7 linked regions of the Xenopus tropicalis genome follow. The protein of the gene in region 7 interacts with the protein of the main gene of each other region in a biochemical or structural test. Links are inferred from orthologs where the notes say so. Each region holds a gene or a part of one and is shown on either strand. Other genes may lie near its edges. The genes, in order: sfi1, mapt, rrp1b, mphosph10, ppp1r10, akt1 and ppp1ca.

Evidence for each region.
Region 1: the proteins of ppp1ca (region 7) and sfi1 form a complex in vitro, tested with the Homo sapiens proteins (2 studies listed by BioGRID and IntAct). The link is inferred for Xenopus tropicalis from reciprocal best matches to the Homo sapiens genes PPP1CA and SFI1.
Region 2: of the proteins of ppp1ca (region 7) and mapt, one has a biochemical effect on the other in vitro, tested with the Homo sapiens proteins (2 studies listed by BioGRID). The link is inferred for Xenopus tropicalis from reciprocal best matches to the Homo sapiens genes PPP1CA and MAPT.
Region 3: the proteins of ppp1ca (region 7) and rrp1b form a complex in vitro, tested with the Homo sapiens proteins (4 studies listed by BioGRID and IntAct, with this or other methods). The link is inferred for Xenopus tropicalis from reciprocal best matches to the Homo sapiens genes PPP1CA and RRP1B.
Region 4: the proteins of ppp1ca (region 7) and mphosph10 form a complex in vitro, tested with the Homo sapiens proteins (2 studies listed by BioGRID and IntAct). The link is inferred for Xenopus tropicalis from reciprocal best matches to the Homo sapiens genes PPP1CA and MPHOSPH10.
Region 5: the proteins of ppp1ca (region 7) and ppp1r10 form a complex in vitro, tested with the Homo sapiens proteins (2 studies listed by BioGRID). The link is inferred for Xenopus tropicalis from reciprocal best matches to the Homo sapiens genes PPP1CA and PPP1R10.
Region 6: of the proteins of ppp1ca (region 7) and akt1, one has a biochemical effect on the other in vitro, tested with the Homo sapiens proteins (3 studies listed by BioGRID and IntAct, with this or other methods). The link is inferred for Xenopus tropicalis from reciprocal best matches to the Homo sapiens genes PPP1CA and AKT1.

What each region holds. Positions count from the first base shown.
Region 1 is NC_030677.2:152,105,396-152,109,638, reverse strand, and holds the start of sfi1 (protein SFI1 homolog), read right to left. Parts: upstream 2,801-4,243; 5' UTR 2,697-2,800; coding exon 2,674-2,696; exon of another isoform or gene 2,648-2,673; coding exon of another isoform or gene 2,643-2,647; intron 2,279-2,642; coding exon 2,123-2,278; intron 1,625-2,122; coding exon 1,553-1,624; intron 1-1,552. UniProt on the Homo sapiens protein: Plays a role in the dynamic structure of centrosome-associated contractile fibers via its interaction with CETN2.
Region 2 is NC_030686.2:17,262,018-17,265,517, reverse strand, and holds part of mapt (microtubule-associated protein tau), read right to left. Parts: intron 2,924-3,500; coding exon 2,814-2,923; intron 1,337-2,813; coding exon of another isoform or gene 1,213-1,336; intron 1-1,212. UniProt on the Homo sapiens protein: Promotes microtubule assembly and stability, and might be involved in the establishment and maintenance of neuronal polarity.
Region 3 is NC_030678.2:1,570,394-1,573,736, reverse strand, and holds the end of rrp1b (ribosomal RNA processing protein 1 homolog A), read right to left. Parts: exon of another isoform or gene 3,253-3,343; intron 3,244-3,252; coding exon 3,224-3,243; intron 3,109-3,223; coding exon 2,992-3,108; intron 2,889-2,991; coding exon 2,473-2,888; intron 2,287-2,472; coding exon 2,125-2,286; intron 1,692-2,124; coding exon 1,625-1,691; intron 1,202-1,624; coding exon 1,053-1,201; 3' UTR 501-1,052; downstream 1-500. UniProt on the Homo sapiens protein: Positively regulates DNA damage-induced apoptosis by acting as a transcriptional coactivator of proapoptotic target genes of the transcriptional activator E2F1.
Region 4 is NC_030679.2:97,027,954-97,031,914, reverse strand, and holds the start of mphosph10 (U3 small nucleolar ribonucleoprotein protein MPP10), read right to left. Parts: upstream 2,801-3,961; 5' UTR 2,776-2,800; coding exon 2,684-2,775; intron 927-2,683; coding exon 239-926; intron 1-238. Other genes in the region: fan1 (fanconi-associated nuclease 1), read left to right, coding at 3,058-3,076, 3,757-3,961. UniProt on the Homo sapiens protein: Component of the 60-80S U3 small nucleolar ribonucleoprotein (U3 snoRNP). Required for the early cleavages during pre-18S ribosomal RNA processing. Part of the small subunit (SSU) processome, first precursor of the small eukaryotic ribosomal subunit.
Region 5 is NC_030684.2:75,449,240-75,453,237, forward strand, and holds the start of ppp1r10 (serine/threonine-protein phosphatase 1 regulatory subunit 10), read right to left. Parts: upstream 2,801-3,998; 5' UTR 2,168-2,800; intron 2,034-2,167; 5' UTR 1,491-2,033; intron 1-1,490. Other genes in the region: mrps18b (28S ribosomal protein S18b, mitochondrial), read left to right, coding at 3,019-3,078.
Region 6 is NC_030684.2:99,749,721-99,753,741, reverse strand, and holds the start of akt1 (RAC-alpha serine/threonine-protein kinase), read left to right. Parts: upstream 1-1,221; 5' UTR 1,222-1,307; intron 1,308-1,561; exon of another isoform or gene 1,562-1,651; intron 1,652-1,791; exon of another isoform or gene 1,792-1,944; intron 1,945-1,982; exon of another isoform or gene 1,983-2,209; intron 2,210-4,021. UniProt on the Homo sapiens protein: AKT1 is one of 3 closely related serine/threonine-protein kinases (AKT1, AKT2 and AKT3) called the AKT kinase, and which regulate many processes including metabolism, proliferation, cell survival, growth and angiogenesis.
Region 7 is NC_030685.2:492,457-494,965, reverse strand, and holds part of ppp1ca (protein phosphatase 1, catalytic subunit, alpha isozyme), read right to left. Parts: intron 2,456-2,509; coding exon 2,324-2,455; intron 2,245-2,323; coding exon 2,014-2,244; intron 1,939-2,013; coding exon 1,834-1,938; intron 616-1,833; coding exon 392-615; intron 1-391. UniProt on the Homo sapiens protein: Protein phosphatase that associates with over 200 regulatory proteins to form highly specific holoenzymes which dephosphorylate hundreds of biological targets.

The sequences.
Region 1 (4,243 bases), on a different chromosome or scaffold from region 7:
TCAAACACAAAAGAGCAAAAAGGCACATATTTACATAGCAGATAACAGATAACCGATAAGCTGCATAGAAAATAAAGTTTAAGGGCAAGGGCACATGGGGTGGATTGTCAGCCTGTGGATAATTTCTAGTTGTGCCTGCATCTGGAAGCAGTGAATCCGCCCAGGTTCACAGATCTGTTCTGCCTACAATGTATATCAGTTGGGCATGTCTCCCCCACCCAAATGGCATCATTTGTACTGCATATATCCCCTCCGCTTGCCAGCACCATCACATTTTCCTAAAGCAAATTGTAGCTTTCACCTGGTAGCCATTTTTCCTCTGATACATAATTGGATACATTTAAATGTGCAAACAGCATACACACAGACCCTTATTCAGCATACATTTCATCAAGAATACAGGCTTACACAGGCAGAACTGCCTTTGATAAAAGTAATGCTTTGTTTGAGCACTGTAATGGTAAATCTGAGTCAGGAGAAAAAAATTGAAGCAGACAGCTCAGCTGAGTTTCTATGGGAACCAGCAATGCCATCTCTTTACTGGCTACTAGACTGGGGGTTGTGTTTAGTAATCTGAGCTTAGAACAACTGAGCATGCTCACACCCCAACAGCCAAAGCAAATTCCTGAGGGAGGGGGCCGAGTGGGTTAGAGGAGGAATAAGAAATCTAAGTCGTTAAGGGGATGCTGCAGCCTTACTATTAAAGGAGAATGCAAGTCAAAATTTAAAAAGCATACTGCCCAATAGTCCTCCTATTGTTTAGTAAAAATGCCACACTTTTGGCTCACCTAATCAAATATTTACTCAGTCACACTTACTTCACATTTTCTAGAACAGGCAGCCATCTCTAAAAAGGTATTCTCCCTTCCTTTCCCTCCTTGCTTCATACTGCACATGTGTTTCATTCCCTCCCTCCCCCCCCCTCCTCCTCCCCTCTGGCAGATCCGCTTCTGATTGGCTGGTGGGCATGTGTAGCTCAGAACAGCAGACAGGATCAAGTTACACACATGCTCAGAGAATAGGAAGGCTGCCGCTGGCAGGCTACAGGAAGGGCAGAGAGATTTCAGTGATGTCACTGTAGTCTTCACACTGCTGTAGGCTGCCAGCACCATATCTCAGAGAAGAAAGCAGGGATCTGGGAATTTAGATATGCAGTAAGTACTTAAAAAGAATGCCTTTAGACTTACTTTGAATTTATATTAACCTTTCATTGTCCTTCAACCTCTGGACAACCAGTGTGGCAGGTATTGAAATATTTCAAAGAGGCTGTTCACTGATTAATTTTTTGTGTGTGGGGTTTACATGTCCTTTAACATATGATAACATCACAGTGACATATTTTGGTACCAATTACATGGAGTATTCAGTTTGGGCTTTTCATCCTGTGTGGGCTGGTTTTCCCTTATACTTGCATGCGTAACTACAACTTGGCACCCAGGTATTTATTTTGTTTAATGTGTGCCCTCTACAATGTTATATATAATACAACAAATGTACAGAAAGTATATGTATATGTTTTGCACATCCACCCCCCCCTTGTTTTTGTTTTTACCTGGCAGTAGATGGAAGGACTCTTCCAAATGTTTTTTTCACCCACAAGTAAAGGAATTTTCTGGCCAGATGCCTAAAAAAAAATCATAAAAATGAATTCATGGATATTTTTATAGAGACTGCTCATTTCAGCCTCAATAACAGTAGCCTACAATACACCGCCTCTATTCCACTAGTTACATTTCACAAATAGCAAGTATGAAGAAGTTTATCACTTATAATAACATTTTGTACACCTTACCTTCTCTTTAGAGGCTTATGTGAATGCACTGTTGCACCAATGACTAAGAAAAGTAGCTGACATTGGGAGAAATCAATGTGACCAGTAATAACCCTGTAAGTAGCATTAAGTTTATACCAGGTATAAGCAAACATCACTGGTGATGTTGCCCATAGCAACCAATCAGATCTTTGCTTTTGTTTTCTAACTTGTAGGTGAACGTTCAAATCGAATTTCTGATTGGTTGCTATGGGCAACATCCCCAGTGATGTTAGCGTACACACTATAATAAATATGCCCCCTACTGTATACTATGGCCATTAGTTATTGGATTATGTATTGGAAACAAACCTTATGCGCAATTCTTTTAGCCTCCCTCCACGGTTCCATGTGTATGTCACACGATATGGTATAAGACGGCTATTTTGGGGGCGCTGGTTTCCAGATGTGACAGGAGGATCAACTTTACGCTGTCGTTTTGAATTGAATGACTTTGCTGTATTGTGCCTGGAAACATTAAAATAAATAAATAAATTGTTTTTGTTAAAGTGACAACAGGCAAACGTGTCATAAAATACTGCAGACCAGCCAGACCTACAACACCCATCAATGAGTGGAATAATGGTCCCACATACTAATACAGATATTTGCAATCATTTCCCGTCCTTGATTATCATCAGTGCTGAGATGCAATTTGTATTTTTTTTGCAATGCTCAACAGCATAAAAGGGAGAGTGCACCTAATACAATGCAGTCTAGCTTGGCCACAAGAAAGTGATTTTCCCGTGATTTATCAGACTAAATGTACTGCAGTGTGTACGTATTTGCCAAAGAGCACAAACACGACAGTCCGAACCCTAAGAATACTAACTCCATCGCCAAGATTTAAGAGTTTGAAGTACCGGACTGTGACTGGAAAATCCATCCCGTCTCACTTGCATCCAGTTTAGTTCCGGTAGCTCCGCCTACCGATAAACGCGCGCCCTTCTTGCCGCTTGTTGTTACAGCAACTAGAAGTTGAAAGCGCATGCGTACTGTAACACCTGGTTTGTTCTGATGCTAAAAAACAGGCGGATGGAATAGCCGGCATATATTTATTAATGAGATTTGTGAGCATGGGCTTAGAGATAACGCTGCATGTATTACAGGGGCAGGTCAAGGGAGGCGGCTTTAGGCAAGGTAGTCATTTGGGGGCACCGTACCGCTGTGTCCATGTATACTATAGATAATTGTTAATTATCCTTGCCTGGCTCCGTTTCACACCTGGTAATTAAGGGCCTATTTTGTGTTAATTGTGTTTCTCCCCAGCCACTAGCAAGGATGCAGCAAGTGTTTGTTAAGTGCAAATAACTGCGCTATAGCCAATGACTAGATTATATCAATAGTATAGTAACTGCCTACTACTTCATAAGCGTATCGAATTAGCGAAGAGTAACCTATCACGTGATCTGTTCAGCCACAGGCTTCAGGGGGTTAAGTTTCCGTAGGACCGCCTTGTTACGTCACGGGCTGACGTTAAACGTCCGGGGTCCACTTGACGTAGTCGTTTCTCGGTTCTTGGGTTGGTCGGGTGTGTAACAGGAGAAGTTACTGGTGAGTCGTCAGATTCCGGGCCCTCGGAGGCCCAAGTAGCGGCCCACAGAACCATAACAGGTATGTTAGGAGGAGTGCTGGAGCCGGTACGTGCTGTGCGACTTTTACGTGCGCTACGTATTGTACGTCGATCGGCGTGTGCGCGGCGGGGGGTTTTAGAGGGAGGGGAACCGGGAGAAAGCGGGGGCGTGCTCAGGTGAACTAGGGTGTATGGAGGGTTTGTAAGGCAAGGATTTAGGCGTGTGGGTGAGTTTCTGGGGTTGTTTTGTTTGTAGCGGGCGTAGGGAACTCGTGGCTTTCATGTTCCGTTCATGTTGGGGTGTATACCCTTCCCCAATTGTGCATGGGCTTCCTCGTATGTGGCAGGTGCATGTTATTGTATTGGAACGGGTTATTTACCCGGTGCCCTTGTGTCCAGGGTAAAAGTTATTAGGGCTCTTTAAGCTTCGTGCTTCGTGGCCCCTTATTTTGAACTACAGTTCAGTAGCTACTTTCTAATTCCCTTGTTGGGTCTGTGAATGTGGCATTTATCGTATCTGTGTGTCAAGTGCTTTTTTTTTTTTTTTTTGTCAGTGTCTTGCTCAAACAATGTCTAGTCTATGGTTTTTGAACTACAGTTAACTTCACACCATGTAAAGTCTACCTAAGGAGCTATGTGAATGCCTGTAGCATATGGCTTTCCAGCTGCTAGTCTTTATATTAACTCTCTGCTAGTGGCTCTTAGGGGGAATTTAGTACGTTATCTCCATTGGTTGCATATTGCTTAGTTATCTGTATAAGCATGGCTGTCTGTCCATTCTGATGTTGACCTGCATCTCCCAGAACTCTGTTCTATAACCCCAAACTGAAAAATGCCTGGTATATTAAAATATAAAAATT
Region 2 (3,500 bases), on a different chromosome or scaffold from region 7:
ACTTGTCACTGCTACCAAACCCCAGAAAATTCCCTGTCATAGACAATACTGAGAATTGCCTCTACTAAAACACATGTAGACACAGTTATAAGTAAATAATCATTGTCTATTTTAGTAGCTGTGACCAATAGCTGCTACTAGTAGCTCTGTGTCTTCACCCTAAGGGCTCTAGCACACGGGAAGACTAGTGGCCCGCAACAAATCTCCCTTGTCGCGGGCGACTAATCTACCCGAAATGCCAGAGTAGAATGTAACTAGCGTGTTGGTGTATCAGTGACCCTGAATGGAATGGACTATCAGTACTAGAAGAACTTATGGTGGACCCAGGCCCTAGTAGGCCTCAGCCTAAGAGAATTCCCATCAGCCCATCTTTATTTCCAACATGGGTCATTTGGCATTATTTATACCTGTTAGGGAACAGGTATAAATAGTGCCAAATGACCCATGTTGGAAATAAAGATGGGCTGATGGGAATTTTCTTAGGCTGGGGCCTACTAAGGCCTGGGTCCACCATGAGTTCTAGTACTGATAGTCCATTCCATTAAGGCTCACTGATACACCAACATGCTAGTAACATTCTGCATTGAACTGATACTTTATATTAAAATGTATTAGTTTCCCTTTAAAATTAGATTTCGAGGGCTGGGATGCTGACAGGGACTATTGGGTTATATAACATAGGCAATCTGTGGTGTTGGACTACAAGAACTGTCCAGCTATCAACATGACTTAAGGTAATGGCTTATTAGCAGCCACTTTTTCGGTAAACTTTGTATAAAATACTTGTGAAGAAAAGCTTTAGCTCCTAGTTGTTGCTCTGTGCTGAAACCAAATACAATTGTAGAAATCCAAAAAAAAACTAAGAGAAAAAAGCTTCAGAAGGTTTCCTGCCAAATATTTATTGTGGGTAGTGGTAACACGACATGTTTCGGGTCAATACCCAGTACCAGTACGCTTGATAAAGGGTATTGACCCGAAACATGTCGTGTTACCACTACCCACAATAAATGTTTTGCAGTAAACTTGCTGAAGCTTTTTTTTCTTTGTTTTTTGATTTATTACTGGAAAATGGGTTCCTGTAAAATAGATACCATACTGGTGCAAGTATAATATGGCCAATATGGCAATATAAAGCTGCTTCAGTCCTAGGCTTGACACGAGTCAGAGTACCCCAGGAAGAAATGAGAGGAGCCTGGGCAACTGGGTACTTACCATTCTCCTGTTCTACCAAGTCTGGCACCTCTGTTTCTTCAGTCAAGGGGGCAAGAGGGCCTTGTAACAGCCCATTAGGAGGGGAAGGGGTATCCCCTGTCTGCTCTTCATTCTCTTTCTCTCTCTGGAGGTGACAAGATGGAGTGGGTAGGGAAGGGTGGGGGGAATCAATTAAAAGCATGCGGGTTGGGGAAAAATGGCAGGAAAAATGAAAGCACAGATGGGAAGGAGTTAAGGGGACCCTGATGCCACCAGCAGACCCACCCTATGCGAGCACCATACGAATATTGCTCCAATAAGCCATAGAACAGTACACACTCTGCCATAATGGCCTTTGCTAATATTCTCAATCCTATACCTGCTAGAGAACTGTGTAAAGGGCAAGCTATTACTGTATAACATGTCTGTTAGTCTCTGTCCAGCAGAGGGCACTATTGCTCCATTATCCATAACAATTTTGCCCTCACTGCTATTATTACAAGGTGCTGTTGCTAAGGCACAAACGTGCAAGAGCAGTGATGTCGTACTGTCTCCCAATTAAATAGGCCAGTTATTTCCTGCTTAATCAGGGGGGTGGGAAGCATTTTATAATATAATGATGGTGATGATGATGACAAAAGAGGTCAACAGAGCACTTGCAAATTAACATAAGAACTTGGTCTCTTGGAGGGAGTCTCACTGGCCGCACAACAGTTACAATTCTCTATATACCCCCCTCTGACTGCCTGTTTGCTCTAGTTGGTGGCATTTAGTCATAAGGGGGAATTCTAGGAAAAGAAGGAACCTTTGACATTGCAATGGAAGGAGGAGGGATATACCAAATCCACAATTGAGCAGCACACAAAGCTGGCAGAATCCATAGTGGTCAATTCAAGCCCTAAAGTCTCGTGATTTTAAAGTGCCAGACAACTGAAAGCTAAACATTTTTTACAATCCAATTTTTGGTGACTTTAATCTGATTTTGCAAATTAGAGTTGGGACTTAATTCCGTATTTGGACAAATCTCTTGTAGGATTTCAAATCTGGCTGAATGTAAATATGATGGATTTGATGCATCCCTAGGTAGGAGCCATTTTGCACTGGGTTCCATTAAGATGAATGGGGAGGGGGATGGTGGACACAGATAAAGGCAGATTACAGTGAAGCAGTGGGGAGTGAATTGGAAGGAAAATGTTTTTGGTGAGAGAGAAAGAGAGGCACGTGTGAGAGGCCAGAGCATAGCCTTAAGGAAACACCTATGGAGGGAATGAGCCCAGAGCGTGGCGCCCATGCCCATAGCTGCACTTACGCCCGCAGAGCCACTTCTGTCGGCTTTTTTTAACACTGCACAAAGTGCTTAGAAATTGTTAGCAAAAGCAGCAGAGAAAGGTTGGGCAAGGGTTAGTTGCAGGGGGCAGGAAGCCAACACAGCATGGATGCCCAAGTGGGTACTTCTCTAGGATAATCTGATATTTCAATCCTGCAATTATGTCCTATGCAAGAAAATATCCTTTGCTAAAGTCATAATCTGCCCACTATGCCAGGACGCCATGGCAGTGACCCAGGGATTGCTCCATTCTGTCTTGGCTTCCTGTTCCGTGCCCGTCTCTAAGCCATTGTACCTTTTTTGCGCCCCCTCCTGGTGTATGGGTTATATTGTCCAGGGATCCAATCTTTGACTGAATCTTGTCAAATTCCAGTTTCTCGGATTTTACTTCCACGTTGCCTCCCCCTGTGTGAGAGAGAAAAGGAAGTAGGTGACCGCCATGTTGCGTACGCTGGCCGGGCTGTTAGGAAATGTTGCAGTATACAGGCATGCTATATAGGCATCACACTTTTAGATATAATGTGGATGAATAATGTGATTGGGTGGATTCTGATTACTGAGTACACAAGGACAGCCAGGTGGAACGGAACCCCAACAGGACAAGAAATAATGGGAGTGTTCTCTAGACCCAGTGGCCATGGACCTTATACAGAGCGCAGCTGGCTTCTAAGCCAAGGTGATCCCTTGTCAGGCCCAGAAGATACATGAACAAGTCACAATCAGACATCAGTTAAGAAGGACATTATTTTGAGCATACAATATGCTGTTAAACTTTTTAAAAAAAATTGATGTAACATCGGTGATAGTGCTTTTCTGAACACTTTTGCAATTTATATTTACTTTTTTTTTTTTTTTTTTAAAAATCCAAGATATTAAGGGTTTAAAGTACTGTTAATATGAATGCATTTTGTTACAGCAGCACCACCTGCTGGTCAGTTTCCAAACACAAAGTAGTCACGGACGTTGTCAGGAGAAATTAAAA
Region 3 (3,343 bases), on a different chromosome or scaffold from region 7:
ATAGTTTTATGGTATCTCTCTGTACAGGCTATGGGCAAACTTAGGGGCTGTTCCTGCTGAATTGTGCTTAGTACAGGGGAATCCCTATGTGCCATAGTTTTATGGTATCTCTCTGTACAGGCTATGGGCAAACTTAGGGGCTGTTCCTGCTGAATTGTGCTTAGTACAGGGGAATCCCTGTGTGCCATAGTTTTATGGTATCTCTCTGTACAGGCTATGGGCAAACTTAGGGGGCTGTTCCTGCTGAATTGTGCTTAGTACAGGGGAATACCCAAGCTGGAGCAGTTATGGTCAGTATAGACTATGAGCAAACTTTTGACATTCTGGGCTTAATGGATTGGGGGTCAGGCAACACCATGTGATTATGCCAATGGCTGCCGGGGTAGAGTAGGAGGGGCATCGGCACTAAGGCCCCTCCCCATTTGGAAAGGGTGGAAATAGAATTCCTGAATTTCTAAAAAAATAGATCAAGACAAGAATTTTTTTTTTTTTTTTTTTTTTTATACAACACAGACCGATCTCATTAATACCAGTTTAACCCCTTCTCAACCATTAAATAAAAATATAAATCTCTCCTTCCTGCCCATTAAAAGACCCCTCCTCCCTCGGCTTTTGAATAAAGTCACATTCAGTGAGGGCCTTGGGAATAATGGTACGGCCCTGGGAATAATGGTACGGCCCTGGGAATAATGGTACGGCCTTGGGAATAATGGTACGGCCCTGGGAACAATGGTACGGCCCTGGGAACAATGGTACGGCCCTGGGAACAATGGTACGGCCCTGGGAACAATGGTACGGCCCTGGGAACAATGGTACGGCCCTGGGAACAATGGTACGGCCCTGGGAACAATGGTACGGCCCTGGGAACAATGGTACGGCCCTGGGAACAATGGTACGGCCCTGGGAATAATGGTACAGCCCAGCAGCTTCCTTGGGTCCCCGGCTGGCGGGGACACAGCATATTCTGCTCCTGCTGCTGGTGAGTTGGGTTGGATCCACTGAACAGAACCACAAGGCACCACATTCACTGTGCGCTAGGGGCGGGGCAACACTCAGAAAAAGTCTGCGGCGCGGGCCCGGGGGGCGGGACTTGACGTGGGAGTTTTCAGGACGCCGTGATCTGGTCTCTGCTCCGGGTTAAATGGGACTCGGGAGGAACCGGTCGGGCTGACAAGGAGGCTGCGGTCTGTCCTCTTGAACTCTATGGGGGGAAATGGCAGATTATAGGGGCCCCCATAATGATGCCAGCAGGGCAGGTACTCGGAGTAGGAGGGGCCAAGAGTAGGAGGAGCCAAGAGTATGAAAAGTAAGGCATGCTGGGAAAGGAAGACAATCTGACATGGGGTGGGGTGTATATAAATGGGGGAATGGGGTGTATATATAAATGGTGGGGTGGGGTGTATATAAATGGGGGGGTGGGGTGTATATAAATGGGGGGGTGGGGTGTATATAAATGGGGGGGTGGGGTGTATATAAATGGGAAGGGGGGTGTATATAAATGGGGGTGATTATAAATGGGGGGGTGGGGTGTATATAAATGGGGGGGTGGGGTGTATATAAATGGGGGGGTGGGCTGTATATAAATGGGGGGGTGGGGTGTATATAAATGGGGGGAGGTGCTTACCGGCGGTCATGTTCTTGTTCAGGCTGAAAGTGACTTTCTTGGATTTGCCGCCCATCTTGGTGGGAACCTGGGAAGGGAAAGCAACAAATAGGGTCAAACTGTACAAACCCCACGAGAGCGCTGACCCAGCTGGCACTGGGGCCACATCGGCCCTGCTTGGATTCGGCTAGTCAGCCCCAGGCATATTGCCCCCCAGCACACTAAGTAGAAAAGGGGTATGAGCCCCTGATTGGGCTGCACAAGGGCTGAGTGGCCTCTCAATGCATCGGCCTGGGGGAGGAGTTATTATTTCACAGGAACCAATGGTTCAGTCAGGATTAAGCCCCGCCCCTGCTGTATGTTCATGGGGAAGAGAGCAGCCCAGAAGCAGGAAGTACGTAGAATCTGTACATGGGCAGGTACTGTACTGCACCCAAGAGCTTCCCCAGTCAGGCATTGCCCCCCAGCCCAACACCCATGGGTACCCCATTACAGGGCACCCCCTCACCCCCCCAGTTTACCTGCCTGCCCCTGGCCTTTGCCGGCTTCACATATACAGGTTTGGGGGAATTTGCCTTCTGGAAAGACATGAAGTTTTGGGGAGTCGACGTCACTTCCTTCCGGGGAGCGAGCGGCCTTTCCTCTGGTTCTGGAGTAGAGGATCCCATTGGCTGCTGGGAAATCTGTAACAGATCACATGATATTGCAGTGGGCAGCCCCGTGTATATGGGCCATACAGTCACAGGAAGTGGGTATGGCAAGAGATTCCCCGATTGGCAGCACTGGTGCCCCAGTAATACTGCCCCCTCCTCTGTGGGACCCTCCCTTAGGGCCGGGGGCTATTGCTTACTGCCCCCCCAATGTCTCACCTTGCACTTGCTCCTGAGCAGCCGGAGTTGCCTCCTCCTCAGTAAGGACCCAGTCAGGGGCAGAATACGGAGGCTGGTTCGGATCAGCCCAGCCCTTCTCCTCTTCCCGGGGGGTTTCTTTGAGAGGGTTGGGGTACAGTCTGGTGAGGGGGTCGGGGCAGGTTGGGGCGACCCCTTCTGTTCACTGTGATTTTCTGTACAGCAGCTTTGGGCCACGCCATTTTGGGAAGGTTGGGGGGCTTGTTCCTGGCTCGGGGTGTTGTTGTTTTCATCCGTCTTCCTCCTCTTACGTTTCTTTTTTGCTGCAGGGGGGCCATTTTTTAATTTGGACTCGTCCGGGGCCACGCCCACTCGCTTCCGCTTCTCCCGTTTTTTTTCCTTGACTGCGTTACCGTCGGAAAGTCGGGATACTATTCCTGGAGAGAGAGAGAGGCAATTGGGAATAAACCCCCCCAAACCTCTCCAGAACCCCTCCCACCTCCCAAGGCGACTCCGCCCCCCTCAGACCCCCCCACTCACCATAGGACCCATTCTCTTGCGCCCTCTTCATCCTCTTGCGGAACAGCCAGCTGCTGTAATCATCATCATCCTCGTCCGTGGAAACCTCCTCCGGGAAGTCCTCGCTGGGGAAGATCCCTGCAAACATGGAAATGATATTAGGACCCCGGAGCGGGTGGTGCCGGGGGGCCCCAAGCAGCCAAACGGAGCATTAGGGTGAATGTCACAGAGACAAGAGCAGAGTCCGACCCACCTTCAGCCAAGTCCCGGAACCTGAAAGGAACAAGAGAAAGTGAGTATTGGGCTCCTATTGGGCTCCTATAGCGCCGAGATACAGAATGTACTTGGTAGGAACCAGCAGTGCAACACTCTC
Region 4 (3,961 bases), on a different chromosome or scaffold from region 7:
GACATTATGCATACCATTAAAAATTACCCATTTGCCAAACCTGTTACTTTAGCTGTTTTTCTTTTTTTACCAACCATATATGCCTGCCTATTCAATGCAGACCATAACATCCTGAAGAGCTTATGTTCAACCCACACACCTTGAGGTGACATTCATATGTTTATACGGATGTCCAAATGCTTTGCAGGGCTGCATTTGCTCTTTTCTGATTAGTGGGCTTTATTAGTGCACAATTTACCTGTTCTTTGCTTTTTGTAATGTTAAAATCTTCATCCATATCATCCTCTTCCTCCTCCTCCTCATCATCTTCAGAGTCAATATCCTCAAAATAATCAACATCATCATCGTCATCCTCCTCACTGTCTTCTTTCTCGACTTTTTCTAAATAGGCCTCCATTTCAGACAACTTAAAGAACTTGTCATCAAGTACTGACTTTTCACTAGGTTTAGCCATTGGTTTTTTATTTGGTATCTGCTGACTCTGCTTCTCCAGTTTATCAATATCAAAGTCCATATCTGAATCATCATCATCACTGAATGCCTCCACTGGTGTTCTCTTTGGTCTTTTAGTATCAGCAGTTTTTTTCTTCTGAGTTCTTTGTTCATCTTCATTTTCACTAATTAACTCTGACTCTTCTGCTGACACACCTTCCTCATCTTCGTATTCCAATTCTGATGGCTCTTCCTCAGTTGACTGTATGAGATAAATATCCTTGTCTTTTTGTGTCTTACTAACTGCTTTCTTGAAGTAGCCAAGAACAGCATTGTTCTGCAGTTCTAGTTGCTGCCATATTTGCTCTTCATCAAAATTCTCTATAATCAGCTTTTCCAATGGGCTTCCCACCTCTAGTGCAAGCTGTGACTTTTGCAAATCATAAAGAGCTTTTGTTAAACAAGAGAACTCTGTTGCCAATTCATCCTGCACACTGAAAAAAAAAAACAAATGTATTTTAAAATACTCCTGCAAATAAGTAAAAAAAAAAAAATCATATGTACTTTATTACAATGTAGAAGTATGGGATCCATTATCTGGAAACCTGTTATCACACTCCATTATAAGCAAATAATTCTAATTTTTAAAATGAATTTCCTTTTTTTCTGTAATAATAAAACAGTAGTTTGTACTTGATCCCAACTAAGATATAATTAATCCTTATTGGAGAAAAAAATATTATTGGTTTTGTTAATGATGAAACAACCCCCAGAAAACCCAAGGTCCCTACCATTCTGGATAATAGGTCCCATACCTATATTTATAAAATCTAACAGTTGCCCACATTACTAGAGAGCAGAGTTTAGAATAGATAAAAATATCACACTCACAATAGAGCAGAGAACAAGAGTGTAGCACTGGACAGTATCATACAAACAAACTGTATTAATGTATTCTACTGTACAGCTCTGCGTACATAAGTAGCGCTTTATAAATAATGATATACATACATACATACATACTGACACAACAGCTATACGTGCCTTGGTGTTAAGTGTGCAACCAAAGATGGGAAAAGGGAGAAAATGCATACCAAGTAACAAATAGTTCTGTAGAATGCAATGGTGTTTTACAGAGCTTATCTTTGATCTCCTATGAAACCTGTGCCATTACGCACCCTCACACAAGAGGAGATTAGTTGGCCCACGGCAGTGACAAATCTCTTCTAAATGCTTTTGAACTGGCAATAATGTAAATTGCCATTGGGAAAACATATGAGTCGTTCGGCTTTCGGAAGTCTCCCACAAGTTTGCTTCGAGAGGAAAATGGGCAACTTTGGAAAGCCGAAGCAACACATTTTTTTTTTCCCACCAGTGATTGACATTATTGCCGGTGGGAAAACATTCCCACACTAAAGGAGATTAATTGTGGGGGCGACTAATCTCCAAGTTTGGCAGCGCTCTTAGCCTTATTTTAATTTAAATAGCTTCCCCCCATGTCTACACAGCAGCTTTGTTTATATAATAGTATATAGTAGGCATTTTACTAGTGCAGGACAACAGCACATTAAATTTTAATTATTTTAAAACACATTTTAGTGTTACCCCCCTACCTCTTTCACATATAACTTCTCTATTTCGTGCTCAGCATAGTCCTATTAAACATTAAGTAAAAAAACAAATTGAATTCATTTATTATAAAAGTGTGCCTTGGGTACCCAATGCCCTAAGTCCTTCAATGTGTTGAGACATGTCAAGCTGTTCAAACTATAAGATTGTTATTGAGAGAATAAGCAAAGTCGCTCAGTGGTTATAAATGGTTCAGATGCATAAGCTCCAACCACAGACACCATAACTATAGTGTGTATATATATATAATGCATAAAACAGCACTTTTCTACTCTTCAAAAAAAATGGTTAAAGCGTTTTAAGGATATGAAATAAAGGTGTATAATAAAGGTCTAATTATGTGTGGTTCTGGTGTGGATATGGAAGATTTTACGTACTATTGTTTTTTTTTTTTTGCATTTTAAAGAACAGAGATTAAACAAATCTTCAGTATCCTTGCCAGTTTATTTTTAATTATTTTATGTAATTATGGTTTTTCTCAGTGATTGGCACAGGCAGCTCAGTGAGTCTCCAGGATTTAGTCCAGCACACACACAAATGTTATAGCAGTAAACGATGGAAATAAACAGCATAATCATAGGCTAAGAGGATATAGCAGCCAATAAGGGTTCTTTCTCTGTACCTCAGCAACTGCTCCGGGTGGGCACTCACTAATTCCAGAACCTCCATGCACTGTTCCAGCCCATGCCTCGGTTCTTCAGAATCTGCCATCATCCTTTGCCACGATCAGCGCAGCTCACTCACATGTTCCATAGAGAAGAGGAAGTGCGCCTACGAAACCACTCCGGCCGGAAACGTTTGCTACAGTGCTATGGTTCCGTAAGTACAGTAAGACACACAAACTGACTGATATCCGAGTAGGATATGTCTAGCATATGTGCTTGCTTTACACTATGGCGTATGGTAACATGTAATTGCGAAAAAGGTCTTTCATGCAAGTACTTTTGGCAGTATTGTCTGTGCCAATAAAGCTATCCTGATTCGCTAACATGGCGGATGCCTTGGATTGTGACAGGTAAGAAAAGCGGGGTATTTGAGACTCACGTATACGCTGCTTGTTTCAAAATTGAGTCATTAATTATGTTTTAGTACCAGCTGCTTGGTGTGTATTTTTGGTACTTCGCTTTTACATTTTACTGCCAGTCACTACCATCTATGAGAGTTAATTACACCAGACCTTCTTATTACATTACATTAACATTTATTTATAAAGCGCCAACATATTCCGCAGCGCTGTACAATAAGTGGGTTACATACATTGGACATGCAGAGTAACATATAAAGCAATCAGTAACCGATACAAGAGGTGAAGAGGGCCCTGCCCAAAAGAGCTTACAATCTTATTTCTTGATATAGTCCTGGGGTTTACATGTCTATAGAAATGGTTGTTTCTTGGGAATGGTCCAGGTTTTAAAAACTGCACAAAGGCTGTTTATTGATACTAAAGTCAGAATTAACACTTGTAGTCTGCTAACACTGTATAATAACCACGTTATTGGAAAGGGATCATAATATAATCATTCATATTGTATGGCAAAGGTTGCTACCATATGACCCGGCCAGTAAAAAATATACTGGTTTTCAATGTGTAAACATAATAGAAAGTTTGTTTGTTTGTTTTTTTTTAATTTAATTGTGACAAAAAATAATTCTTTTGGCAGTCCTCTATCTACTTAATCTTTCTTGTGTTTGCAGGAGATGAACAATGCATTCAGAGGCTTAGTCAAAGTATATATCCCAGTACATCAGAAATGAATTCTCCTGAAAAGAAAAAATCCCGCAGAAGTCTATCCATATCAAAAAAAAAACCTAATGTCAATTTAAAAAACATTCAGTCACCAAGAAAAACATCAGTGTCTCCATCAATTATTGCCCTATTTAAAAATGCACCTCCTGCAAA
Region 5 (3,998 bases), on a different chromosome or scaffold from region 7:
CTATATCTAACTGGAATGTTGGATAACAAATTGCAAAAAAAAAAAAAAAAATCTTTCCTCTGATTTTCAAGATGACTATTAGTACATGTAGACACCAGAGGGCGTTCATGAGATGAGCAAAGGGCCAGCCATATACAGTCTAGCATGCCTGCCTCAGCGGGAAAACAAAGAGAAAGGAGGAGAGTCCATTTTAGAGCTACAACATGCTAGATGTTAAAACAACAACTGAGGCAGCCATTTTGAAGGGTTTAAAAAAAAATATGTACTGAACAGGAAAAAAAATTGCTGTTTAACTGCTTGTTGCAAAAGAACCACAGTTTGAAGATGAAACAATACATTTGCCATACCAAACCTCCCTACCTAAATAGGAAATACGGGGTGCTACTTTATAGCTATGTAAATATAAAAATATACAGCATCCGGCAAAAATGGAATTCATGAGATGAGAAAGGTTGCTAAAAATCAAGCTGATGTATTAAGAGAAATATGATGTTCACAAAATAGTTACAAAATTCCATGTACAGACAACTAATTATACCAAAATAAGTTTTGCATTTTAGCCTATTATAATCAAAATTTACTATCGCACAGGACAGTAGTGGAATGAAGGCAAGCAATCTTTATTGATAGATTGCACACAATCCTCTTAGGTATATTCTCAGTCTGCCAGGGGGTGAAAGAAAAATGACACGACTGCTGTGCAAACAGTGATTCCTCGAGGACATTTAAAATTGCAATTATTACAGTAATTGGAATGTAGAATGATAACAAATTGAGTGTATAGGGACAGGAAGTCCAAAATTAGATATTTCAATCCATGCGGATTTCCCCTTTTATACCTCCCTACCTTGCCAGCTCAGCACATATTACTGCATCTCTTTGTGGAACTATACCTCCCTGAAGAACTCACGAGTCTTTCCCTGCAATCTTTATGTACAGATTGCTCATGATTCTGTTCACTACGCACCTTGAACTGAACATAAACCACACGGGGAAAAACTGGTCTTATATCCCTTAAGTAAACAAAGGATGCCGTCTCCCACACCGAGATAATGCGTTTGCTTTTTTTGAACAAAGCCCTGACGCCATCTTTGGTATGGGAGCTCATTTTTGTCGCACATCCTGTCAAAAACGATCAACCTCACTGCCCAGACTGCCTGTAGAATGTAGCTGTTATTAAAATATGTGCCTGGACAAAACTTACTACGGATACTTATTGGTCATTTATCCTTTAGAACTTAGAAAGCGATGCCAATGTTTGAAAAAGCTATATAAAAAGTTGAAGGGCTGATAGTTGTCTGCAGGTATAACCTTCTTTCAATTTGATTCAAACAAAATACAGTTTTATCTAGAATATGTCCAAGATGGATTTGCTAGAAATCTGCTCTTGCTGGGACGGCATTAAATTAGCTGAACCCACCAAGGGTTTGAGGGTAAAGGGTTGGTGGGGGTAAAGTTGTTTTCCAAGGTCGTTCAAAAGCAACACTTACTATCCAAAATTCTCCTTCACCTCTTCGTACGTTGGAACTGGGCTAAAAAAAAAAAAAAGAAAAAAAAAAAGAAAAAGTGGGGGTGGGGGCGTATTAAGGAATATATCCTCTTAAAAAAGTTGCCTTGGGATTAAGACCACACAAAGGCTGTGGTCGGCATTGTATTCAAAATTTAAGGTTTATAGGGCTGGCCAGCTGCCATTACCTTACAATTATCAAATATGCCCTTTTCAAGCTCCAAATAGAAAAAAAAATAAGTGAAAGAGGATATATTTTGAACGCCTGTATTTTAGACTGCTAACTATTAATAAGAGCCCAGAGTCTCCTTATTTAAAGGGCAGATAAGCATATAAGTTTATAAAAAATTTTAAAAAAGAATTAAGAGGAAAACGTGGTGTAGAAGGTGTGTGACGAGGCTCCCTTGTATTTTGGTCTTCTACTGTTTCCAAAATTGAAGGTCCTTGATCTTTTGATATTAACTTAAACTATTGTCCAACAGTTTGGTGCGACGATGAAGCCAAGTTGAACACAGGTAGGTAAAACCTAAAGAGAAAAATAAAATCATAAAACACGTGCACAATCGATACCCGAAACACAACAATTACACAAAAGCAGCCCCCCTCAAGGTCACAACAATAAGGACATTCTCTGTGGACACCACTCAACAAAACACCTACCTGACGACAAAGGCTGGAATGGCGCCGTTGACCAAACCGCAAGTTTAAGTAGCCTCGGAAGCGTCACGGAGTGTGGAGGCGGAGCAATCAAAAAAGCGATACACGATTGGTTCGACGAGACGAGGCAAACGCTAAAAAATGGTGGCAACTAATGACATCACTTCCATCAACCAATGGCCGTCGAGTATGTAATTGCAAAAGAATTAGAGATTCTAGGTTGGTTTGTTTTCCGAAAGGTGATTTTCTTTCATAAAACGTATTTAATGGCGAAACAAACCGTGAACGAGCAGTGCTAAATCTCAATGTTCATAAATAAAAAACCGTGAAACAACGTGTCCTTTTTCAATGACGCAGCAAAAAAATCCCGCAGCGCTTACGTAATCGAGGCCAACGCCCTTATTGAAAGACAAAAAAATACTCCTTAATTATAGCGTGAACATCGTCTGATCTAAATACGTTTAACTAGCGCTGCCCTGCTCTAGTTCGTGCTTAAATTACGGAGATCAAACCGAAGCAGCTGAGCTATAGGTTGATTAGGTTAACCACCCATGTAGCTACAAAAATAATAGAGCTTTAGTGCCAGACATATTCAATATATGGTATCTAAAGCCTTATTGTTATGAGCAGTCTACTTGGTTTAATGAAGTTACAACCCCGGGCAGGAAGCGATTCTTTCAGGCACGAACCCTTTCAATAACTTCAAGGTGTTGAAATGTAAGTGGCTGCTTGTTCGTATTAATAAAGCTGGTATTGAAGCAGCATGCTGAAAGAAAAAAATGGGGCTAAGTGATTGGTTGATATTTTCATGACGTAAACGACAAGGTGCCCGTTCTACATCACCTTCTAGTAAAATGGCTACTTGGTTGGGTGGTCTAGGGATATCTACAATCAAGAAGGCGCTATGGTGTAAGGTAATAACATTTAGGGAGACGTTATAACTAAAGAGAAGTGACAGATGTATAGACTAAATATGTTGGCTGTCTTAAGGTAATTATTTTAAGATTTAGTAACCCATCAATCGTTACTGTCGCTGTAGATATGCTGTAAAATGGTGGTGCCTGCATGCAGAAGCAACACGGTTTGTGGGTGCCCTTGTTAGCAGGCGGAACAGATGTTCCAGCTGAACTTGCACATAACACTGCACGCATATGTGTAGGGCTGTGGCTATTATTTTCTCTAATATCCGAATATACGTAAGGTAGATTAGTGTTTACCGTATCCCTTTTAGGGTCATAGGTGTCAGTTTTGTTTTAGTTAGATGGCAACGTGAATTGCCTTAGATACATTTTGCATGTATGTATAACTTTAGTAACAGTCCTGCTAGTATACACACCACTGTACAATTTTACAGTGTAGAAAAGTAGTTACAGTAAATATACAGGGATTAAGTGCTGTGTGATAAGAGACCTAATAGAAAGGAATACTGCCCATAAAGTCTTATGCATGCTCAGACGAACATTTCCACAGAATAAAGCAGGAACAGTGAGAAATCTTTTTAACAGAGTGCATATGTTCTTTATCATTTCTGTTTAGATTTGTCTCCTCTCCTCTTTAATAGAGATCACATATTGAATCCACATTCTGCATGGCTCATTAATAAGTCATTTAGATGCTATCTACTGACTGAGCTAAATTAATGTGCATCCATGCAGCATGTACAGTCATGGCCAAAATTGTTGGCACCCCAGAAATATTTCCAGAGAATCAAGTATTTATCACAGAAAAGTATTGCAGTAACACATGTTTTGCTATACACATGTTTATTCCCTTTGTGTGTATTGGAACAGAACAAAAAAGGGAGGGAAAAAAAGCAAATTGGACATAATGTCAC
Region 6 (4,021 bases), on a different chromosome or scaffold from region 7:
GCGCGCACCCCCCGTGCGCCTGCACACTACCGCTGGGGGGGGGGGGGGGGGCGTGGGACCGGGGACAGCCTGGGGGCGGTGAGTTTTGAAATCCAGCCATGAAACCAGCACCATATATTATTTGGAATTGCCTACAAAATTAGGTTTTTTTCCCATTTATCCAGTATGTCTCCTTTAAAAAATGATAATGCATCATCCATTGTTATTTGCAAGAGTCTTTTATAAAAGCACCTGGCATGCAGTTTTATGTTTTTATATGGAAACAAACTCCTGTGTGGCTTCTAATATTGTTTTGAATAACAATAGGGCAGGCCCAGGTTGGAAATCTTTGGATTCTGGCAAATGTCGCCATAGACAGTCACAAATGATTGCGCTTGTGGTGGGGGCTGCTTGGGCCTCTATGCACCTAAAATACCAGGGCCTATTTTGACTCCCAGTCCAGAGTTGCAAAAGGGGATACATTATTTACTATATTACTACAAAAACCATACTGGGGCAACCCTGTTATAGTGGGCCCAGGAACACAGCATAAATAGTATTGAATTGAATTTATAATAGGGCAAGAATGTGGCTTTGAGGTACAACTCCCAGCACTCTCAGGGAGAGTCCTATGTCATACAGATAACAGGGCCTCGCAGTTTTCCTAAATATTTATTAACTTCCCTCACATATTGCAAAAGCCAAATACCAATAGTTAAATACAAAGCTTAGGGTGGTTATATGTACATTAACAAAGAATTTTAGCTGATTTTCCTGCACTGCATTACTGCGTGTGTATTTGCCTGCTTATAGAATAGAAGTTGCTCTGTGTCAATATACATACACGTAGCGACTTTAGTCAATGCCCTTCCATAGAATAGTGAAGAGTGAGGCCCCGTTGAAAGCGCGTTGTAGCTAAAGCCCACACTGCTGGCGGAGAGAGCAGCACACGGGTTAAGTCTCACCTGGCTGCTGGCTACTCACGCAGCGCTCAGGCTCCTCCCTTTGTGCTCTGATGGATTTCCTAGCTGAGCTGCAGCTTTGAAGCCTGCGGGCGGTAGGACCCGGTGGTCATCTGGAGGCAGGGTGTAAGAGGCACAGAGGGAAACCCATAGACAGCGGCTGGAGAAAGGAAGAGAAGGCAGGAGGGAGGATCGCTTTGGGCAGGGGAGGAAGAGCCATTGCTCACTGTGTGCAGGGGAGGAAGAGACAGAGACGGGCACACACACAGCTGATGCACAGGAGAATGATCCGAGGCTGAAGACTGCAGAGCCGAGGCAGTTATCCTGCAAGCGGCAGCAGTACCCACATCCCAGGGTGGCAGCAAGGTGACAGCAGCAGCAGCAGCAGCAGCAGCACTACTCTCCTGCCAACCATCAGCAGCAGCCGGTTCCTCCCATCCCTCCATGCAATCAATGGGCTGAATCTGCAGCAGCAGCAACACTACAAGCAAAAGCAGCCTTATCCTTCCCCACCTCCTCCTCCCACCCTCTCCCCCTCTGTGTCTGCTCTCCTCTCCTCCCTTCTTTCCTCTCCCTTCCCTCTCCTGCTCCCCTCGGTGATGGTGAGGCTTCAGCTGGCTGTAATCCACCGCTAGGCCCCAAGCCCCCCTCCCAACTCGGTGGCTGCCCTCCTCTTCCAGACTCAGCTCAGTAATACCTCTTGCATCCATGTAAGTCAAACCGCCCGGCACTTCCATTTCCTAACCTTTGTCTTCCACCCTCTGCCAGCACCCACGCCCTTTTTTTTTTTTCTTCTTCCATTTATTGGTATAATCCTTTAACCCTTTAGGTGTCAGAAAGCCTCCCCCTATCGATCATTGCGCAATGCACCAGGGGGGCCTTATGTCACTGACAGGGTTAAAGCAGGACAGTACCTAATACCCTGAGAGGCATGGGGGTGTTGGTCAGTGTTACAGCCCTGTCAGGGCCTGGCGTTGTTTAGTGCTCTGCAGGAGGGGTAGCGGTAAGAGAGCAGCATGCAAACTGCAGCTGATGCAAATGCGCCAAAAATCAATCACATCCCAGTAGTCTTGCTACACAAACTGCCTGCAGGGCAATGCTGTCGCCTTCAGTGCAACCCAGGATGTGTATAATGTTCCTGTTGTGTAGATGTGTGTATGTTTGTTCATAAACAGTGTTAATTTCCAGGGAAGGGCTGTGGCTGGAACTATGGCTGCTCTGCAGGGGGGCTGGCAGCATTGCTTTTTAAAAAGATGGCAGGAAAACATGTATGTATATATATTTATATAAAGATGGTAGAAATGTGCTGCATTTGCTTCTTATCCAGTCTATATACTCAGTTGTCCAACATGTGGCCCTCTGGCTGTCATAAGATGGCAACTCTCTGACATCCACCGCAGCGGAAGGCTGTCATAGGCTGCTGGGAGTTGTAATTCACTGACAGCAAGCAATGCTACAGGTCGGACACCCTGGTGAAATCTAGTAATATCCCCCTTGGGCTGTAACAAAAGCTATCCTATTGCACTAGCATTTCTTTTGCTTACATCTCTGAACAAGATAGTGTTTTACTTCTAGACTGTTGTGTTATGTATGTAGTCTGTTACTTGCTGAAACTGATGTGCTCTTTGTGTGTCCCCCCACCAAACGTGCCCACTTCCTGTGTACATGCTCTAATGTGTATGGGTGTGCTGGCTGAGTTTGACACTTCCTCGCTCTGGCCTGAGCAATCAAGTACTGTGGATTACTGTTGCTATCCAGACTTCGAGGAATATAGCAGTATTGTGAAATTTGTTTACCTGAAAAATATATATATATGTGTTCAGTTAAAAGTAGGTTGCAGTAAGCATGTGGTTGGCATTTGGCAAGTTCCCCACAGTAACTTAGCACAACAATTAACCCAGTCGTTATTGTGATGTTTTTCTTAGGCAATGTATTTTCCAGTAATGTTTCTCGGGGTTTATGCGCACATTAATTTCCAGCTGAATAAGTAATAAGATGTTCGCTCATGGTTTAGCTAGATTAGTATTGCAGGTACAGAAATCCTGTAAAATCAAGAAACAACTAGATTATTTGCATCAAAAAACAGTTTGGTTGTGTCACAAGTCCAATGCTGTGTGTCACCTTTATGTAGTGCGCTAAATTAAAAAAAACAAAAACAAAAAATTTCATGACATGTCCTTTCTATGTGCAGTCATCTGGATTTTATTCAGTGTCTGCTATTGCAACAATGTAAAAAAAAAAAAAAGAGTATAGGTTAATAAACTGGGCCCCGATTAACTTTTGCTACTATTTTTTATAAAAAAAATTAAATAAAAAAAAATTGTAGTTCATTGTTCTTCTAGTGATCAGTGAATGAAAAACCAAACTGCTGATTTGATGCTGGTTTGGGAGACCAAACTCTCTTGAATGCAGGAAGCAACTAAAAACATGATCATGCTGCTGGGCTAAATAGGAGCCGGTGCAACTGACCTGCATTATTTATAAGCATCCTGCATTTAAAGGTAATACCTTCTCTCCTTACTCTTAACTAAGCAGAATATACAGTAGGTAACTTGTATGCTAAAGCCAATGTTTGACTGTAAACTTATCTGTGCATTTGTATAGTGTAACCTTTCATTCTACCTATAATATGTATTTGGCTTTGATTTTATATTGTATTCCACTTTGGTTCAGGTATATTTCTCTGAGCATGCACATATACAGAAGTTAGATCACAAATATATTTAAAGAACATATAAAAATAGTTTTTTGAAGTTTATTAGAAATGTTTATGCTATATTGTTGTAGGATAGTGTTGGGCATAAGGATAAATTAATTCAGAAAAAAACTTTGTATGACATGTCTCCCAAGTATATATCCTTGAGGTTTGACGCCTATTCGTAAATAATCTTAGGTTCAACTGCACTGCATTATTGTAGGGAAAGCAACAGTAGGCAGTGCTTGGAAAATGCAGAAAACAAACAAAATAAATCTGAAAATATAACTAAATCAGCATTTCAACTCCTGTACAGAGTCTGTGGCAAAACCTCAGTGTAGGAAGCAGAATATTGGTTTGTTATGACTTTTGTGTCAAGTACTTG
Region 7 (2,509 bases):
GGGAGAGGAGTAAGGAATGGGCGGAGCAGACGTACCGTGGGGTGGGAATGGGCGGAGCAGACATACCTGGGGTGGGAGAGGAGTAAGGAATGGGCGGAGCAGACATACCTGGGGTGGGAGAGGAGTAAGGAATGGGCGGAGCAGACGTACCTGGGGTGGGAGAGGAGTAAGGAATGGGCGGAGCAGACGTACCTGGGGTGGGAGAGGAGTAAGGAATGGGCGGAGCAGACATACCTGGGGTGGGAGAGGAGTAAGGAATGGGCGGAGCAGACATACCTGGGGTGGGAGAGGAGTAAGGAATGGGCGGAGCAGACGTACCGTGGGGTGGGAATGGGCGGAGCAGACATACCTGGGGTGGGAGAGGAGTAAGGAATGGGCGGAGCAGACGTACCTGGTGAGCTCGGCAGATGAGGTCAAGGTCATGTTTGTGAAGAAATTTTGCTACTACATCAGCCCCAAAGGTGAAGGAGACCCCGCGGTCGTTCTCCCCCCACCCAAGCACATCTTTGTCCGGGTCCGACCACAACAGGTCACACAGGAGCCCCTGGTCCGGTACATCGGTGGGACGCAGGATCCGTCTGACTTGCTCCATGGACTGTAGGTCGGGGGAGAGGCCTGAAACACAAATGGGGATGTGAGTGGGGGGGGGGGGGGCAGGTTCTGATGGATCCAGAGTAGGCACAACTGTATACCGGGGGGGCACACTAGCTGTACAGTATAAGAAGGTGTGGGGTTCCCGGGGGGGCACACTGGCTGTACAATACAAGAAGGTGTGGGGCTCCATGGGGGGGCACACTAGCTGTACAGTATAAGAAGGTGTGGGGTTCCCGGGGGGGCACACTGGCTGTACAATACAAGAAGGTGTGGGCTCCATGGGGGGGGCACACTGGCTGTACAGTATAAGAAGGTGTGGGGTTCCCGGGGGGCACACTGGCTGTACAGTATAAGAAGGTGTGGGGCTCCATGGGGGGGCACACTAGCTGTACAGTATAAGAAGGTGTGGGGTTCCCGGGGGGGCACACTGGCTGTACAGTACAAGAAGGTGTGGGGCTCCATGGGGGGGCACACTGGCTGTACAGTATAAGAAGGTGTGGGGTTCCCGGGGGGGCACACTGGCTGTACAGTATAAGATGATGTGGGGCTCCCGGGGGGGCACACCGGCTGTACAGTATAAGGTGTGGGGCTCCCGGGGGGGGGAACACTGGCTGTACAGTATAAGGTGTGGGGTTCCCGGGGGGGCACACTGGCTGTACAGTATAAGGTTTGGGGCTCCCGGGGGGGGGCACACTGGCTGTACAGTATAAGGTTTGGGGCTCCCGGTGGGGGCACACTGGCTGTACAGTATAAGGTTTGGGGCTCCCGGGGGGGGCACACTGGCTGTACAGTACAAGAAGGTGTGGGGCTCCCGGGGGGGGGGGCACACTGGCTGTACAGTACAAGAAGGTGTGGGGCTCCCGGGGGGGGCACACTGGCTGTACAGTATAAGAAGGTGTGGGGTTCCCGGGGGGAGCACACTGGCTGTACAGTACAAGAAGGTGTGGGGCTCCCGGGGGGGGGCACACCGGCTGTGCAGTATAAGAAGGTGTGGGGCTCCCGGGGGGGGCACACTGGCTGTACAGTACAAGAAGGTGTGGGGCTCCCGGGGGGGGGGGCACACTGGCTGTACAGTATAAGAAGGTGTGGGGCTCCCGGGGGGGGGCACACTGGCTGTACAGTATAAGGTTTGGGGCTCCCGGGGGGGGGGCACACTGGCTAAGAAGGTGTGGGGTGTGTATTCACCCCATTTGGGCTGCCCAGACGAGCCCTGAGGGATGGGGGCAGCAGGGAACTCACCCCCGTGGCAGCAGAAGATCTTCTCATCCACGATGGCGGCCACGGGCAGGCAGTTGAAGCAGTCGGTGAAGGTTTTCCACAGCTTAATGTTGTAGCGCCGCTTACCTGCAGGGGGAGACAGAGGGCATTAGGGAGCGCACTGGTTACCGTGGGTTACAGCCTGGCCCCGCCCCCGCGTACACTCATCGTAGAAGCCGTAGATGCGGTTGATGCTGGCGCACTCGTGGTTCCCGCGCAGCAGGAAGAAGTTCTCGGGGTACTTGATCTTGTAGGCGAGCAGCAGGCAGATGGTCTCCAGCGACTGCTTCCCCCGATCCACGTAATCCCCCAGGAACAGGTAGTTACTCTCGGGGGGGAAGCCCCCATACTCAAACAGGCGCAGCAGGTCGTAGTACTGACCGTGCACATCCCCTGGGGGGAGGAGAGGGAAGCCAATCAGATCCGCAGCTACACACAGAGGCGGAGCCTCGGCACCCAGGGCCCTACTCACCGCAGATCTTCAGCGGGGCCTCCAGCTCCAACAGGATTGGCTGGCTGAGGAAGATCTCGCGGGACTTCAGGCACAGCCCCCGGATCTCATTCTCCGTCAGCTGAACATTCTTCCCAGGGCGGCAGCCTTTAACTGTAGGGGGGGAGGAACAGGCCAGTCAGGAACTGGGGAGGGGGGGCCCCGTTA